Callithrix jacchus: one gene and its partners. The protein of the gene in region 2 purifies or fractionates together with the protein of the main gene of each other region. This does not show direct contact. Links are inferred from orthologs where the notes say so. Each region holds a gene or a part of one and is shown on either strand. Other genes may lie near its edges. The genes, in order: CYFIP2, WASF2 and ABI2.

Region 1 (2,508 bases), on a different chromosome or scaffold from region 2:
TGCTTCCCCTTTGTGGCCCAATGCTAAGCCTTTGCCCAAGGAACGAGGGAACCGTCTCACCGTCTAGCAGCTGAGATGGCCTGAAAGCATCCTGTTTGGACCGTGAAACTTCTGGCCGTGTTCATACATACTGCTTCCCCACAGCAGGCCTGACCAGTCTCCTATCCCACCTGCATACAGTATGATACACCTGTGAATGTTTTTTGGCCCTCTCTCTAGGACTTCCCTGAGAGGGGAGTTAGGATGGGGCTTTGGGAAGCCTATGTGGTAGAATCCCTGGCAGCCAGAGTGGGAGAAGATACCCCCTGTGGCACTGCAGGGAGGGCACCAGGAGAGATTAAGTGGTAAGCTGAGGTACGCCTTTCAGGCCAGGCTGGCATCTCTGGGAAGGCCATATCTGTTCTCAGTCTGAGACTTCAGTCCTGGGGTCAGACATGGGCACTGGGTACGAGGTGTCCATCTTGGAAGGAGCTCTTGGGAAGCAACCACAGATGGGTGGGACGATGGGATGGAGAAAGGGTGAAGGGTTGAGGGGGCAAGAAAAGAAAAAGCACACACTGCCCTGTTTTTTCCTTTTTTTTTTTTTTTTTTTTTATATATGCTATGGAGAAACCAGCATGGAGATGTCATGGGAGAGCATGCACAGGCCCCGCCCTAGGGAGTGGTGGAGATGTGTTTGGGGAGGTACTTGTTTCCAGGTCCATCCCACACGCTGTCCAGTCGGATCCTGTGGCAGGCTGGCTGTGGCTTTCTCTCTCCTGCTTTTCTTCCTCCTCCAGGTAAGGGTTTGCAGGACCTTCTGCTCAGCAAGTGGTGGCCAAGGACTGGTGGATGGGTGGCTGGAAGCAGCGCACATGCTCCACGGTAGAACTGTCTGTCTCCACGGACTTCATGTACTTGTTCAGGATGGCAAAAACCTCATTGTTCAAGATCTGGTACTTCCTGATCCGGTCGGCCATCTTCTTGAGGGGCTACAGAAGGAAGGGGATATTCGAATTAGGGCAGGACAAAGGGAGTAGAAAGAGAAGGGAGTAAGAGAAGTCAGTGAGGTCCAGAGTCCCCTGCATCAATGATCATATCACTTAAAGTCCTTTAATGGAATCCCCTGGATCTGACAATCAAGGACGGTGAAAACCTTCTCCAAGTCTTAAAACCATCTACAGAGCTACAGTAATCAGAAGTGTGGCACTGGCATAAAGGTAGACATACAGATGAATGAAACAGAATAGAGAGCCCAGAAATACACAATTATATGTATGATCAAATGATTTTCAACAAGGGCGCCAACACTGTTCAATGGGGGAAACAGCAGCCTTTTCAACAAAAGATGCCGGGAAAAATGGATACACACATGCAAAAGAGTAACACGGAACCCTTACCTTATACCATATACAAAGAATTAACTCAGAGTGGATCAGAGACCTAACCATGAGAGTTAAAACTGAAACGTTTAGAATATAGGGGAAAATTTTAATGATATGGATTTGGCAATAATATCTTGAGATACGGTATCAAAAGCAAAGGCAAAAAATTGGACATCAAAATTGAAAACTTTTGTGCATCAAAGGGACACCATCAGAATGAAAAGACAACCCATAAAATAGAAAATAATCACAAATCATATCTAAGAAGTAATATCTAGAATACATAAAGAACTTCAACTCGGGAGCTGCAGTGGCTCTGGCCAGTTGTCCTGGCACTTGAGGAGGTGAGGCTATGAGTTCAAGGCCAACCTGAGCAACATAAGAAGCTCTCATTGATTTAAAAAAAAAAAAAAAAACTTCAACTCAACAAAAAGGACTCAATTAAAAAATGGGCAAAGGACTCGAATAGGCACTTCTCCAAAGAAGATATACAAATGGCCAATAACACATGAATATAGCACTTGGCACTGACAGTCATTAGAGAAATTCAAATTAAAACCACAACATGATGACTTTTTCACCCATCAGGATGGCTATTATTAAAGAATACGTGCTGATGAGGATGTGGAGAAACTGGAACTCTTGTGTACTACTGGTGGGAATATAAAATTGTGCAGCCACAATGGACAACAGAATGGCAGTTTCTCAAAAATATCAAATTACCATGAGATCCAGCAATTCCACTTCTGGGTATATAGTCAAAAGAATGGAAAGCAGAAATTTAAAGAGTTATTTGTACACCTATGTTTCATAGTAGCCAAAATTAACCATTTTCAACAATAGCCAAAAGGTGACAGCAACCTAAGGGTCAGTGGATGACTGGACAAACAAAATGTGGTCTGTACACACCATGGAATATTACATAGCCATGAAAAGGATGGAAATCTACATACACTACAACATGGACGAACCTTGAAGACATGCTAACTAAATTGAGCCAGTCACGAAACACAAACACTGTATGTTATATGAAGTACCTAGAAGTAGTCAAATTCATAAGGTAGAATGATGGTTACCAGGGGCTGGGGAGAAAATGTGGAGTGATTTTTTAATAGGCCCAGAGTTTGAGTTGGGGAAAATGAAA
Region 2 (3,657 bases):
ACATGTGACTGGCACACAGCCTGATTTTGAGGTCAGCAAGCCTCTGGAGAACTCGAAGGCCAAGGAGGTACTGGATTGCAAAATGAAGCTCAGGATGAATGCAGGGTGCTATGAGGTAGTAAACGTGGTCTTTCTGCCAGGTCTCTTATCAAACAAAATGAGCTGACGATTAAAGTAGGGTGCTAGGGCTTGCCTCATGAAAACCTGTCCCTCAGTGCACTGGGCCTTGGGTGAATTTGTTCTGGGTGAACAACAACAAAACTTCAAACAAGCACAAATACACAAGCATCAGCTAGCAAAATCTGGCCTGCTATGCTCCACCTCCCGCCCTCTTTCCACCATTGTTGGGTTCTAAAGAACTCATCTAAAACAGACCCCAGGGAGAACAGAGTTGGAGGAAACTAACTGAATCTAAAGATTCTCTGATGTGGAAAATCCCCAAGGCCTGGAGCCCTGGAGCCTTGGCACGTCTCTTTATAGGTTCACCAACAGGCACGTCCAGATAGACTAGCCATGCAGCCCAACTCCAAACCACCCGGACAACAGGAAAATGGGAGGCAAATCCTCATCTTCCTACTCCACAAAAAAAAGACACACATGGGTAGCTGGCATTCTGAACACGCAAGCTTCTGGCTTTAGAGTCACTGAACCTGTGACAACTGCCTGTCTGAACAGGATGGGTCCATGGAACAAAATGGCCCCCTTTACTGGGAGGTAAAGGTAATGAAGGTACCCTCAGGGGTGATTTCCTAGAAAAGAAAAAGATTCATTTTTTCCTTTCACCGTCTTCATCACTCTTTAAAATAGATCTCTTAATCCATGAAGAACAAGTGTCAGAAGTGTCAAGATTTTTAAAAGTCAAGATTTTCATGTAGAGTTATTTCTAAAAGCTAGAACAACTAAATTCTTTCCTTTTATCATTCCTAGACACCCAGCACGGGCTGGCATGGTTCTCTGACAGCCATGATGCAATGTATTTAGAGAAAAAACCAGGGTGACATTCATTCCAAGCAGTCATGGTGACTTGGCTTTGAATGTCAACCAGGTCAGATACCAGAGTAAGTATCAAACCAAGCTTTAAAACCATCTTTTTCCCCCCTTTAAACCTCCAGTGTGACTTGGTATCGGGAAATGGGGTCAGACTGACACCTCTTATTTCTTCGCAGAGATATATAGCCTCAATACTGGCCGAGCAACCTTTCCCACACTGTCTATGAGGTTTGCATTCAGTCCCTTGGCCAGCCTCTCTCCCAAGACTGACAAAAGCTGACTGAAAAGTTGCTTCAGTGATGTGAACAACTTCCTTGCCCGGCCCTCCCCAGCCCTCAGAGTGAAATGCCCAGTTCTTAGGCATGACCTTCAAATCAATGCTCTGGAGGCAAAGGATTCCCAAGACCACTTTTCTTCCCTTTCCAGTCTTTCCTCTGGGGCCCTGAGATGTGTCAGTGTCTCGCAGAATAAGGGCACTAGGAGCCATGGGCTTTCTTTTCCAGACCACTCCAGTCACCTCATTTAAATTGCTGAGTCTCTTGATTTATTTAGCAAATTTTAATCACCAGATGGATGCACTTTAAAGTAGCTGATTAATAGTGGTATTGATCTAAGCCACACAGACAGACTTCAGGGGGTGTGAAAGGTGTCACACCAGAGCTGTCAGACTGTTGTCCCCAGGTCCCCAGCCCCTTCAAAGAATGCTACCAACAGCACAAAGGCATCACCTACCCAGAAGGCCCCAGCTTCTCTTTGGACTCCACAAATTCTTGTCCCATCTTCATTTTCTCCCACTCTTCCTTACGTGTCTTGATTTTACGTGGGTTTACGTTCCCTCGATTTGGATTATCTTTCTTTTCTTTCTATAATGAAAAGAACAGGAAGGTCTTTGCAGAACATTTTCCAAAGTTATTCATTAGAATTCTACCCATCTTCATGGATGCATATCTAAGAGATGATCTGCCTAGACAACATACAATAACTACATAACTTACAGAATTACTGGGTTTGCCGGGATCTAGAGGCCATCTAATCCACTCCATCCCCTAGGTGAAACATTTGCTCAATCTCACATTCAAATGCCTCCAGCAATGGGAAACCCACTACCTCTTTTCACTCACATTTTTGAAAAGCTCTAATTGCTAGAAGTTAGTAAACAGCTATTTATTATTTGCTCAGCCCCAAAGATCAGTCAAGAGAGATGAGATGTAATGAGACCTACGGTTATCTGGGCATATATAAGGAAATAGTTAAAAAAAAATCAATGAAGAATTTTTCAGCCTGTGCAGCTGCTCTTGCCCCTGGCACTCTCTTGGGCCTCCCAGCAGCCATGCTTAATGGGAATGAGGTTGCAACTGGTAGGTCACATACATATCAGGAAGACTCTATGGGGAGGAAGAATCTCCAAAACCTACATCTAGTCCCTCACCCTGGCCCCACCCAACCAGTAGTGAAGGTGTTAAACTGCTCCTGTTGCAAATCAAACACTGCAGAACCTTGTGCTAATCTCTGAGAAATGAGCTGCAAAACTGGAAGGGAAGGGACTAGCCTAGCTTGCGTGTCCAGCAGAGTCAGGTGCAAATTGCAAGAGAAATAAATGGTGAATAGAAAAGTCAATTTCTAAAACTCAGCCTGAATATACTCAATTGTTAATAGTGCTGGGGGGAACAAACACATTTTTGGTGTGATTTATACTTTCATCTTCGTTGTGCTTGGTGTGGCCACATTTTTTTAAGAGTTTCACCTGGCATCCAAGCAAGCAGCCACTCAAAATGATTACTTCACATAAGACTGGCTTCCTTTTTATCCCTCCCTCCACAATCGTGCCTACTGATGTGGAGAACAGAGGCCCCTTTCCCCTCACCCTATGCTTTCTCTTCTCTTTCATGATATCCTTGGTGTCCTGCAGCATCTTCTCCTTCCAAAGATCAAAGAAGTATGAAGGGTCTGTGTAGAATTTGAGTGCCTCTTTTCCATCATCCCTGGGATAGAAATGAAGACAAGTAGCTGTCAGTAGACAGATGAGCTCCCAACCAAATCCAATATTCCAAACACCTACCAGTTAGCAGTTTTTACACCAAGGAATCAAGAAGTCATTTGAATCGATTGCATATTTCCTCTCCCATACCAGCATTTCAATGCCCCTGAATGGCACCTCTCTACTTATCAGGCTTTTTAAGAACTTTAGCCTTACTTTCAATTCCTGGTAGATGAATTTGCATTGTCAGGGCAAGAACAGGTGATAGCAGCAGGGATTCTGATTACTTCTAATGATCTGCATGGCCACAGACATCTCCCTGAGGATATTCAGATATCCTGGTACATCAGAGGGAATTTCTACCACTGTTTCCTCTTTTTGCACCAGTTCCCCAGGACTCTCTAGGAAGCATCAGTAGCTTTCCACCCACTGGAAATCTGTGTATACATGTGGAGGTTCATGTGTATGCATATGTACACATATATACATGAAAAGTGTGTGTGTGTACAGCTGTTATTTCTCTGCACACACAGATAAGAAACCACAGCACTCCACCTTCTTGCTCCCTTCTAAAATAGCTTAGCGCCCACACACACCCCAACCACAAGGGGGCTCCAGTGAAAAAAGACGGCCAGCTGTTGTTAAGACCACAAGGTTTAATCACCAGCTCCTAATTAGGGGCTGTGCCA
Region 3 (3,657 bases), on a different chromosome or scaffold from region 2:
CAGTGAAGAAACCGAGGCCCTAGGCCAACAACCCACAAGGAACTAAATCCTGCCAATAGCCACGAGTGAACATGAAGTAAAGTCTTCCTCAGTCAAGCCCTGAGATCACTGCAGCCTCAGCTGGATACCTTGACTGCAGCCATGTTAAGAATTTCTGAATCAGAGGGCCCAGGTGGGCCATGCAGAGAAACTGGAAATAATGTATGTTCTGTTTAAATCACTAAATTTTGGGAATAATTTGTTAACCCACTAAATTTGGGGAATAATTTGTTAGGTAGCAATACATAAGATAGTTTTCATCAAATGTGGAAACATTTTTTTCTATGATGGTTTCATATCTTTTTTCTTTCACATCTCCTGGGGACTCCAATTATACATATATAAAGACTAGTTCATCTTGTCTTACATTATCTATTGCTATGTTTTCCCTTTTGCCTTTTTTCCCCCCTTTTTTCTCTGTGCCTTATTTTGGATAGTTTCTATTGTCATGGCATCAAGGTTGCTAATACTTTCCTCTGCAGTGTGTTTTATCTCCAGAAATATGTGGGTTTCCCTTTCTCTTTTTAAAGATATACTCCACGTCTCTCTCATGTTCATGTTTTCTTTTACTTTCTTGATCACATGTGACATTTATAGTAGCTACATAAGAGAAAAAATCATTTCCTTCTTTCTGGGGGTCAGAGCCTACCAGCGCCTGTTGTTCAATGTCTGAAAACCATTATTTTGCGGGGCTTTTTTTAAAATTCCTGTTTTAGAAGGGAGGGTAAACCTGATTACTGTTGCTCTCTCTTGGCTTTAAGTGGAAGACTATTTATTTCTTTATAAAAGTCCTCCAAGTGATTCTAATGTGTAGCTAACTTTGAGACCCAGTGGGTTAGAAGCTTTGATTTTCTTAAAAGAAAAATTCCTTCCAAACAGGACACATTTTTTTCTGAGCTGATTAGTCTTGATGAATTTGAAAGCTTGTGTCCCAAAGTGCTACACTGTAGTTAGCTAATATCAAAGAAACTTTTCACTAAAAGAAATGTCCAATATTACTTGGCAAAGAAACTGAGAAACCATTATTCCGTGGAACAGAGTATTTCATATGGAGACATTTAAACTGAAGTATCCAATTAAAAGGTGACACAAAGTAATGTTCTAAAGCATGGAGGTAGGAATAATGAGGTGAAAAAAATAATCTTCCTGAGGCGAAAGGAAACAGAAAACTACTTACAGAAACCAGAAAAAAACATGTCCAATAGGAACAATATAGGTAACCATCACTTTTTAAAAATCAAATATTCACAGAATTTTACCAGTGTAACTTTTAAAATCATGAACCTTGTAAACTAAATAAAAAGGCACAAATACAAATAAATAAAACTTCACTTAGCAAAAAATAAACAAGATTCTCTTCAGTACCAGCAAATTTCATTAGTTCTATGTAGAGGTTTCTTCCCATCTGTCCAGATACCCTTCTGAACCTTACCCTTTTCCAAGTAAGAACGTGGAGCCCACGGCGGGTCCTCTTCAGCATAAGGATCACTATACTCAACCACAGCTGCTTCCTCCTCTTCATAATCTTCTGGGGGAGGAGGAGGTGGGGGAGACTCATCAAAGACTGGTTCTTCCACAGGTGGCGGTGGAGGTGGTGTATCTGAAACTAAGAACACAGCAGGCTGACAACAAAACTATACATTATGCGAAGTTTAGTATTTCCCATCCAAGCTTCTAGGTTCATGGAATATAAACCTAGACTTGAAAATATTCTTTCAAAAAATGAGTGAGCAAGAGAAGTCTTCCCACCAACTATAATGTTCCAGAGCTCCAAGAATGATATTCTCCCTCTCTTGCCCTTGGATTAGTGCTAATGGATACTGAATAAAGTTTAGACAAAAATAATTATTAACTGAGCCTCTGGAACCTGTTTATTCTAATACAAATCCTCTTTTCAAAGAGATCAGTATGACTGGGCGCAGTAGCTGGCACCTGTAATCCCAGCACTTTGGGAGGCCGAGGTAGGTGGATCACCTGTGGTCAGGAGTTCGCAATCAGCCTGGGCAACATGGTGAAACCCTGTCTCTACTAAAAATATAAAAATTAGTTGCACATGGTGGCAGGTGCCTGCAATCCCAGCTATTCAGGAGGCCAAGGCACAAGAGTTGCTTGAACAGGCAAGATGGAGGTTGCAGTGAGCTGAGATCACGGCACTCCAACCTGGGCCACAGAGCAAGACTGCATCTCAAAAACAGCAGAAACAAACAAAACAGAGATCGGTACAATATAGCTGAGCTTTACACTGTTTTCAAGGAAAAGTTATCAGAAATACTGATCATGAAAACCATATTTCACAGATTTTTAAAATCTTTTTTCACTTAAATTAGAATGAATCCAGGGAATAGTAAAATTTTAGTAATCCACTACTTTCTTCTTAATGAATTTTTCTAATACCAAATTCAAGAGGAAAAAAATAACAAACTTGGTTAACTTCATCTATGAAGATGTTTGTTTACTTATAGAATTTGTTCTAGTTCAGACTAATTTATCATTTAGAATTTCTTCAGGCTAAATGTCCAAGCATACTAGCAGAGTAATTTAAAACATCTCCCATGGAGTTCTGCTTCCACAGCTCTGATACCGATACACAGTAACATCAAAAAAATTATCTTCAAACTCAGAGACTTAACCTTTCAAAATAGTTGGTACATACTTGAGCACAGCTGAACACAATGAAATGAATAAACCTGTGTTTATCAGCTCCTCAGGTTTAATGAACAGCACTAATTCTCATTTAGGAGGTACCAGTATAGATGTGATCCTCTGAGCAATCCTATTTATTTAGTATTTCTAATGTAAGTCTACTAATTGAATTAAATGGATTTTTGAAGATTGCTGATTCCTGGTGGGAGGCAGCCACAGCAACACCATGCTTCTGTCTTATCTCAGTATTCTTCCCATCTGCTGTGCCCCCTCTATACTGATCTACTTTATAAACTTTAAAACTTCAGTCATTAAACAGAACATCTTTCATCCTAATAGTTTTTATTAACAAACAAAAGATATAGATATGTGACTTACTATATACTTGGGTGAAAAAGCAATGTGTCCTATTTCCATTTGTAAGATAAAAAGACGGACTTTAAACAATTGCACAGAACCACAGATCCAAAGGAACTTTAAAAACAATCACCTTGAGAAATGACACTACAAAATTACTCAAAGATGCTTCCACTGTTCATTTTTACTTTCCTTGTAACTGCCAGTTTAATAAACCACCACAATTGACTTAAAACGTTCCATGTTCAGCTAGACCTTTGTAATGCATTATTTCATTTCATCTTTACAGTGGGAGGTGGTGTTTTTCATTTTATAGATGTGGAGACTGGCTTTCCAAGATTAAGTATTCCAACAGAAAGTAGGTGGAAAAAATTCCAATGCCTATTATCTTAAAAGCTACACTACTATGAAATGACATAAATTCAAAAACCTTCAAGTATGCTTCATACTATTTATTCAGCAAACATTAACTAATATGGCTAGATATTATGCTCAGCACTGAGAAAAGGGCAGTGGGTAGAAGTCATGGAGACATGAACAACGAAACCTTCATTTGCAATTGAGTGTAGTGTGTGTTTTAAGGTACTACAGGAACACAGAGCATAAACAACACTTGTT

The links.
Region 1: the proteins of WASF2 (region 2) and CYFIP2 purify together in Homo sapiens (co-immunoprecipitation; 3 studies listed by BioGRID and IntAct, with this or other methods). This does not show direct contact. The link is inferred for Callithrix jacchus from reciprocal best matches to the Homo sapiens genes WASF2 and CYFIP2.
Region 3: the proteins of WASF2 (region 2) and ABI2 purify together in Homo sapiens (affinity purification with mass spectrometry; 3 studies listed by BioGRID and IntAct, counting the BioPlex papers as one, with this or other methods). This does not show direct contact. The link is inferred for Callithrix jacchus from reciprocal best matches to the Homo sapiens genes WASF2 and ABI2.

What each region holds. Positions count from the first base shown.
Region 1 is NC_133503.1:20,165,410-20,167,917, reverse strand, and holds part of CYFIP2 (cytoplasmic FMR1-interacting protein 2), read right to left. Parts: intron 972-2,508; coding exon 804-971; 3' UTR 1-803. UniProt on the Homo sapiens protein: Involved in T-cell adhesion and p53/TP53-dependent induction of apoptosis. Does not bind RNA. As component of the WAVE1 complex, required for BDNF-NTRK2 endocytic trafficking and signaling from early endosomes.
Region 2 is NC_133508.1:64,081,568-64,085,224, forward strand, and holds part of WASF2 (actin-binding protein WASF2), read right to left. Parts: intron 2,973-3,657; coding exon 2,855-2,972; intron 1,854-2,854; coding exon 1,723-1,853; intron 1-1,722. UniProt on the Homo sapiens protein: Downstream effector molecule involved in the transmission of signals from tyrosine kinase receptors and small GTPases to the actin cytoskeleton. Promotes formation of actin filaments. Part of the WAVE complex that regulates lamellipodia formation.
Region 3 is NC_133507.1:124,709,460-124,713,116, reverse strand, and holds part of ABI2 (abl interactor 2), read right to left. Parts: intron 1,646-3,657; coding exon 1,472-1,645; intron 1-1,471. UniProt on the Homo sapiens protein: Regulator of actin cytoskeleton dynamics underlying cell motility and adhesion. Functions as a component of the WAVE complex, which activates actin nucleating machinery Arp2/3 to drive lamellipodia formation.